Linked DNA regions of Coturnix japonica. The protein of the gene in region 2 purifies or fractionates together with the protein of the main gene of each other region. This does not show direct contact. Links are inferred from orthologs where the notes say so. Each region holds a gene or a part of one and is shown on either strand. Other genes may lie near its edges.

Evidence for each region.
Region 1: the proteins of UBN1 (region 2) and ASF1A purify together in Homo sapiens (affinity purification with mass spectrometry; 6 studies listed by BioGRID and IntAct, counting the BioPlex papers as one, with this or other methods). This does not show direct contact. The link is inferred for Coturnix japonica from reciprocal best matches to the Homo sapiens genes UBN1 and ASF1A.

The regions. Positions count from the first base shown.
Region 1 is NC_029518.1:57,106,838-57,110,862, forward strand, and holds the start of ASF1A (histone chaperone ASF1A), read right to left. Parts: upstream 2,814-4,025; 5' UTR 2,428-2,813; coding exon 2,319-2,427; intron 1-2,318. UniProt on the Homo sapiens protein: Histone chaperone that facilitates histone deposition and histone exchange and removal during nucleosome assembly and disassembly.
Region 2 is NC_029529.1:11,642,133-11,645,695, forward strand, and holds part of UBN1 (ubinuclein-1), read left to right. Parts: intron 1-460; coding exon 461-511; intron 512-1,666; coding exon 1,667-1,709; intron 1,710-2,036; coding exon 2,037-3,266; intron 3,267-3,563. UniProt on the Homo sapiens protein: Acts as a novel regulator of senescence. Involved in the formation of senescence-associated heterochromatin foci (SAHF), which represses expression of proliferation-promoting genes. Binds to proliferation-promoting genes.

The sequences.
Region 1 (4,025 bases), on a different chromosome or scaffold from region 2:
AGGGAAGCTGATGCTTTCTCCAGTCCTCATAAACTAGGCCATCCCACCACCTTTCTCCAGTCTGCAGAAGCCCCTCTATTTTCATAGACTGGTTAAGCTGCGATTCTCCTACAGCAGGTAGGGCCCATTTACTTGCTGGGAGCTGTAATGAGAATTTGTTCAGTCTGTAGGAATGTCTCCAGCATTTAGGCTTGCAACTGATTTTTTTCCTCATTAATGAAACCGTAACCCCTCATACAGCACGGCACAACGGGCCAGGTTCTGCATCAGAGATTCTGTTTACCCCATAAGCACCTGGTGTTGGCTGCTGGGGTACTAAGCACTCATTGGGTCAGCTGGTGACCTTCTGTTGGAGCCTATGTAATCTGCTGTGTTCAAGGAGTGGGGACATAAGAGGCTAGATCGCTTAAGGTTATCATACCATCACTTGCAGTTATTCCAGGAAAACAAACTCATTCTAAAGCAGTAATACTTGGTACTGAAAAACAAGCCTTTGAAGATAACTTATACCTTTAAAAGGTTGATCTGATACTGCTGATACATGATGACTTGGAATAATTTAAAGACGGGGGAAGTGAACTCAATTAATTTACTTTTAAGACCAGTGGTGCACAGGACTGGCTGTAAACAGCAGAGCAGACATTAGCACACAAACGCTAAGGAAATGACAGCAATTCATTCTCTTCAAGAAGCTGTTTAACCTCATTTTTAAACGTGAAAGATAGCAATGCTTACCCTAAACATATCCTGTAGCCTAACCTTTGTCAGATGGGGGAAGGGAACTGAGAATTTTGAACTGGGCCACCTCCAGTTCTCATCCTGACTGTCCAGATTAATCGCACTGTTAAACACACAGTTAGGAGTGGTCACAAACCAAAGGAAAGGCAAGGTGATGCCTAGTGCCTGTGCTGCTGCAGGCACTGCTGTGTGAGGATTCAGGTGCTGCTGTCCTGAGTGAGCCCTGACTGCCTGAGTCAGGGAGGAGCAGCCATCAGCATCGGGATGTGCACGGAGCTTAATGGCGCGGGCTGCTCAAACTGAGACGCTGATCAGTTTTAGGAAGGGGGCAGAGGCGTGGGGGGAACCTCAAACGCAGACAGGACTTTGACAAAGTTCCTGACAGCACCGCCAACCCGCCACACAGGGACAGAAACCCGCGCCGAGTGTTGAGGGAGGCAAACTGAACCACAGCAGCAATAGAAACGTCCCCATTCTCTACTGCCACGAGTTTCTTTCCCTGCCTCCCGCTGTCTGCCCTGGTTCCCCGGCGAGCAGGCGGCACTGTGCCCCATAGCGGCACCTGTCCTGTGGCTGCTCCATCGGAGCGGCCTTTTCCTGTCTCTCGGTGCCGCTCATCCCGCCGCTTCCTTCGCCGTGCGCCGCCGCGTTCGAATCTCCCGCCCGGTTGTTCCCGCGCGGACTCTCGGGGCGCCTCCCGCGGAGAGGCGCGGCGCGGCCTGCCGGCGGCACGGACACATCGTGCCGAGCGAGCCGGCCCACAGCGGGCCGGGGGCTGCTCGCGGCCCGCCGTGCGGACGGGAGGACTCGAGCCCGGCCGAGAAGGGTCCCTCAGCCGCGTCTCCCGTCCCGGGGTCCCCGCGGGGCGGCGTGCAGGGCGGCGCCGAGCCGCCTCCCCCGGCGGCAGCCGGTAACTTTCGAGTGACTTCCAAAAATAGTGGCTACCGCCTCCCCCTCCTCCCGGCACGGCTCCGCGCCTCCGGACCGCCACCCACCGGGCTCCGAGCACTGCGCCCACCGAGAGCCGCCCGCTCGTCCGCCCGGCCTCCAGCTCTGTTTTTTTCCTTTTCTTTTTTTTTTTTTTTCCTTCCCTCCTTTTAAGTATTAAAATGGACCGTGAGGCCCCGCACCGCACGCTCCAAACGCTGCCCGCGCTGCGGGTACCTCCCGTTGGCAGCGCTACGGCCGCGCAACAGTTCCGCTCCCGCGTCGCGGGGCCGCGCGGCGCCCTGCCCGCCCGCCCGCTCCCGCTCTGCCCCCCCACGCACACACAAAGCTGGCAACATGGCTACCACCACTCTAACAAGTTCCTCGCAACTTGAAGGCGGCCTCGGCGACGGCGCGGCGGGGAGCGAAGCGGAGCGGCGGCCCCGGAGCGAGGGCTCCGCCGCTAACTTTCCCTGCCCGGGCCGGGGCCGGGCGGCCCCGCCGTAGCTCCGCATCCCCCGCGTGGCCGCACGGCTCTGCGGGGAGGAGAACCGTGCGGCGGCGGGAGCAGGCCCGGCCCGAAGGGAGCCCGCCCGGCCCCGCATCCGACAGCCCGGGCACCGCCGAACCCGCGTCCGGAGAGCGGTACTCACCTTCCGACAGGTCCTCTATGCACTCAAATGTGATTTCGAACTGGAAAGGGTTGTAGAAAGGAGAAGGGTTGTCCAACACCACTACATTGTTCACCTGAACCTTTGCCATATTTTGAAAAAAATCACAATAGGAGGAGCGGGTGAACGCCGCACGGCAAAGTCCCGAGCGGTGATCTCCGCCTCGCACGAAGCCCCCTGCCCCCCGTCGGAGCGAGGCTGCGGAGCCGCGACTTGGGGAAACTTTTCTTCCCCCCTTTTATTTACACCGGGAGCACTCCACTCTGTTCGCAGCTTTCCTATTTCACTCAACTACGGCCCATTCTGCCCTGCTCTCCGCCAGCGCCCGTCCGGATTGGCCGCGCGCTGGGCTAGGGCCCTCCTCCCCGAGCCGAGCCGACCGCCGAGCGGCGGCAAGACAGGCACCGCCGCCGCCCGCCCGGCCCCTCCGCGCCGCTCGGCGCCCCCGCCCGGCCGGCGCCCGACACCGCCGCCAAACCGCCCGGCAGCCGCCGGCCAACGGCCGCGCAGAGCGGGGAGGGGCCGGGCCGAGCGGGCGGGGCCGAGCGCGGAGCCGAGGGGCGGCCCCGGGAGCCGTAGGCCGCGCCCCTGCTCGCGCGTGGGTTTCCGCCATGTGCTGTGGGTTTTGCCGGTTGTTAGTGCCCGAGGAAGGCGTGTTTTCATTCTTTTTAATTCTTTTCGCGAACCCGGAGGTGTCAGGTGTTACGTGCTGACTGGGGACTGCCCGACCGAGCCCTGGTCCGCTGTGTGAGCGGCCTCCAGAAAGCTGTCAACCCGTGGCTGTGCTGTAGTGAAGCCTCCGGCAGCGCCGCACGCCCCGAACACAAGCGGCCCTTGGAGGAGGCCATTTTAGGCTGCCGTGTGCGGGAATGGCAGCGGGGATATGTCATGTCACCGCCCGCCGCTGGGCTGGGGAGAGCCGTGCCCCGGGCTGGGGGTGTGAGGTGTTTCTCGTCAGCGTGAGAGGCGATTCCCGGAGGAAATAAATACGTGGTCATGCAGTAATCGTGCCTGCGGGGAACACTTAATGTGCGGCAGGAAGGTACGGAGCAGACATCTTGCCTGAGCCATGCAGGCAAGCAGCAGAGTGCTGCCATGTCTACAGTGAGGCCCTTAGCCGTCCTCCAAGCCACTGCCAGGTTTGGAAAGGTGATTATGCTTCTGTGTTGACAAAGAAGTGTCTGATAGTTGCCTCATCTGTTGCTCAGTGTACATTTTTAGCATTCCTCGTGTCAGATGAAAGGCCAGATTGGGCACAGTAGAAGAGACTCCTCACAACAAGCTACTATTACTATCAAGAAACATAAATTGCCAATAATTTCTGACTGATCTGCACAGAGATGTGCCATGGGAAGATCCTTGGGCAAGTTTCGTTGTAACATTCCAGGAGGTTTCAGGCTGGCAGCAGCTTGTCATCTACCAGGATATTTTGAGCAGAGCGCTTTGGAGTGAAAAAGAAGGGCTAAAGATAGAGAAAAGGCTGGGGAGTAGGGACGAGGAAATGGGAAAGAGCTGCACATACTTGATAGTGAGCAGCCATTATCACAGCTTAGAAACATTTCTGACCTTCCGTGCTCCCAGTGTTGCATCACATGTAGATTCACAAGTGCCTGCTGGGAACTTATTTGGTTCATTTCATTTTGGATTATTATTTTTTTTTCTTCTAAGCTTTATTTTTCAGCTCTGCAA
Region 2 (3,563 bases):
ACTTCTGTCTTTTGGGATGCAAAGGCAGCAGCAATGCAGTGTGTGAAGGCTTCTCATCCATATTGCTATATATAAAGAAGGGAAAGGAAACCTCTCTTCCTTAAACATGGTGGAGAGCTCCTGGATGATCTGCCAGCTCTTGATGATCTCTGGTAGCAGCAACACTCAGCCTGAATGGCCGTGCTGTCTCTCCAATTGACTGTCAGCTCATTCCTTAGCTACTGTCCAACCACACTGCCTTAATGGCCCTTCCAGCGCCTACAAGCTTAGCTCCCCAGTGAGGGAATGGAGTGAGGGAGTTCAAGAGGATTTTCCTTGAAAATGGATGAATATTTGTTTGCTCCATGGTTTTAATTTCACTAAGTCCCCTGCTGTTCTGTGCAGCTCTGTCTCCAGTGATCCCAGCTGCTCTACTGGGTCTTGCTGGATATCACTTCTCATTGCTCTCTTCCCTTCTTAGGACACTGTTTAAGGAGAGCAGGCGTGTACACGGACACCTCACATCAGTCCTGTGAGTATCGTGCAGCATTCCTTTAGAGTGATAACTGGTGATCTGCGTTCCCTGGGGCCTGGGTGGATCGTGCAGGAACACCTGAGCTTGTTTGGCTCCTGTCAGACAGTTTGGCGCTGCTTCATTTGGGAAGGTCTAAGGAGAGAAGTGGTGTGTGACATCTCCCAGCAAAAGCCTTTCTGAGGTGCCTGGGCCTTACAGCAGGCTCAGAGAATGACCTTTGATGCCAGGTTGCCTCCTGGCCTTGTTCAGCAGGCTGGAGTCAGGCTTCTGTGCTAGGCCCTGGGAGACAGTTGAGTAAAATGGACTGTGGTGCCAGCACTGTGTTTATTGCCACCTATTCAGTTAATCCTTACTGGATTCTGGATTCCCTCTTCCTTGCTGCCAGATTAAAGCAGAGGTACGATGAGCTCAAGGCAATGAGAATGGGAGAAACAGACCTGTGGGTGACAAACCAAGGGATCCATCGGAATCCAGCTGGGCAGGTGCCTTAAGGCCTAAGGGCCTCATGGATCTTGCTGGCAGCATGTAACAGACAACGATATAGATTTAGGCTGGTATCTGTTTGACAGCTGGTCCTGTTCTTGGCATTGGATGAATGAGGGGAAGCAGAGAAAGGGTATGAAATAGAATGTAGAGTCATCCTTCCCTCAGCCATACCTCTCCAGCAGCTCAGGGATGTCTTGTACCGGTGATTGCATCTGACCAGACCAAATGATCTATTTTCCATGAATTTGGCAGATGCTTTTGCATCTTTGACTTCTTCTGGGAATCTAAAAGAAGTGTGTAGTTTTTTTTCCCCTCTAAAATAGCCTGTGTATCCATTTCTCTCTGGGTGTTGCTATATTTAGGTCAGCAGTGGGCTTCTGTAGCTCGTAGCCCTGCAGCTGATGCAGGATGTGTCTGTTGAGTGCTTTCACTGCTCTGCAACCATTTCAGATACTCTGCTCTGCTCCCTAAATCGTTCCCCTGTGTGGGAGCTGGGACTTCCTAGGGCAGCAACAAATGTCATACGATTTTGAATCCTAGCAACCTGAGATGCTGCCTCTGTTCTTTGCAAAAGACTCAGTGGATCATCATTAACAGGGCCCCTGACTGGATGCTTCCCTACAGGCACTCAGTGAACCCATGTTTTCTTTGTCTCCCTTGAAACAGGGCGAAGAAGAAGGTTGTCGCTCCTACTAAAGTGAAGGGGAAGGTGAGTTCTGTGTTTTTTGGTACACACATTTGATATATCCCAGTAGTTGAGAGACTGCCATCCTAGGTCCTATACTTGAGCTTTGTATCTATGCATAGATGTAAGGAAGTTGTATTCTTAAACAGCAGCAGTCTGCACTGTGCTTGAGGAAAGAATTAGGACAGCAGCTAGAACTGATGGCAGCAGGAGTACCAGCCTGGAAGGAGGGTACCTGTCATCGGACAGGTATCACACCTTTCATCCCAAAATCAGGGACCTTTCCTTCCCTTCTCAGCATTACATTCTGCCTCTGTTTTGACTTTGCTTTCTGTTGTTATTTTGTTCCAGGAACTCTCCTCTAAACCTGATAAAAAGGTGGCTGTTTCTGTTCCATCAGTACATTCAAGCAACACCGTAGCTCTGTCATCAGAATCCCAGGCAGGAAGTCTTAACATCAGTGCCCAGACCAGAGAACTCCTGTCCCTTGGGACAGCACAAGCAGCCAACAGCACTACTACTCCTGCTGCCTTCATGGACAACTCTTTGGATGAAGATTTAATTCATAATCCTACTTCCTCCCTTGAAGCAGTCTCCAAGGAACTGGCTGTGTTGAACAGCAGAGCAGGAGGGAGCCCTGACTTTCCTCTTCCTGGAGCTCCAAAAGCTCCACCTGAGAAGATTCCAACTATTGCATCCTCAGAAGAGAAGAGAACATTTCCAAAGGCCCACCCTGCTCCCACAACATCCTCTGCTGGTTCCCTCCAGTCTCCTCTAAATTTCCTGGCTGAACAGGCCCTCGCATTGGGCCAAACTTCCCAAGACAAAAAGACAGAGAACTCTAATTATAAAGAGCTCTCCTGCCAAGCCTCCCCCAGCAAAATCCTTCCTGATATACACCAGGCTAAACAGAAGCACCACAGCCTGGTCCGACCAAGCCATGGGCCTCAGACCTCCACCTCGGTGCCAGGTACTCAGGTGAAGGTTTTCCACTCAAGCAACCAGCCACAGAAAACTTTCACCTCTCCGGCTCCATTTGTCAAACTGCAGAACCCCAAGTCCTCCTCCCCATTGCCCCAACGCTCCCTCCTCCAGCAGGTCAAGTCATCAACCAAAGCTCAGAGCTTCCATTCCTCTGCTGCCTCAGGCAGCACCCAAAACTCCAGCAGTTCTCACAAAAGCCCAGGCTCATCATCGTCATCTCTAAACTATACAGGAAAGCACTCAAGTGGCTCTAGCACTTCAGGACAATCCTATAAATCACCCTTTGTTTCTGGATCCCTCTCCAAGCATGGGGCTTCTTCCAGCAGCTCCTCATCGGGAGCGTCTGCAAACCAGGGCTGCTCCTCTGGGAACTTGCTGCCCAGCATGCAGACCCCTTCCTCCAGCCAGGCATCCAGCCGGCCAGCCCCGAGCTCTGCAGTGAAGAAGACTCCTGTCTCTCAGAAGCTGACTCTGGTGGCACCTCCAGGAGGTTCAAATGGAGATTCTAGTGGGGGCACACAAGGGGTGGCCAAATTGCTGACCTCCTCCCTAAAGCCAGCTGTTGCCAGCAGCGCCGCATCTTCTACCTCTGTGCCGGTAAGTAGGAGCATGCTGACCCAGCCCGATGCCAGGAGAGCACATGGCGTTGTGTCAGGCAGTCTCCTGACTTGCTGAGACCTGCCATAAAATGGTGACTTTGAAAGAAGTTCCTGAAATTCTTGAATGACTGTCTGGACTTTGACTGCTTAGGTTAGGAGGACTTGGCCTTTGCAATGGGTTTACAATCTAGAGTTCAAGCTTTTGTTTTCAGCTTAAAGTAATGATCAAAATACTCTGGTACCTTCCAGACAGCAATTTTTGGGTAGGCTGTGTAGTGTTCTAGACCTGGTGTTG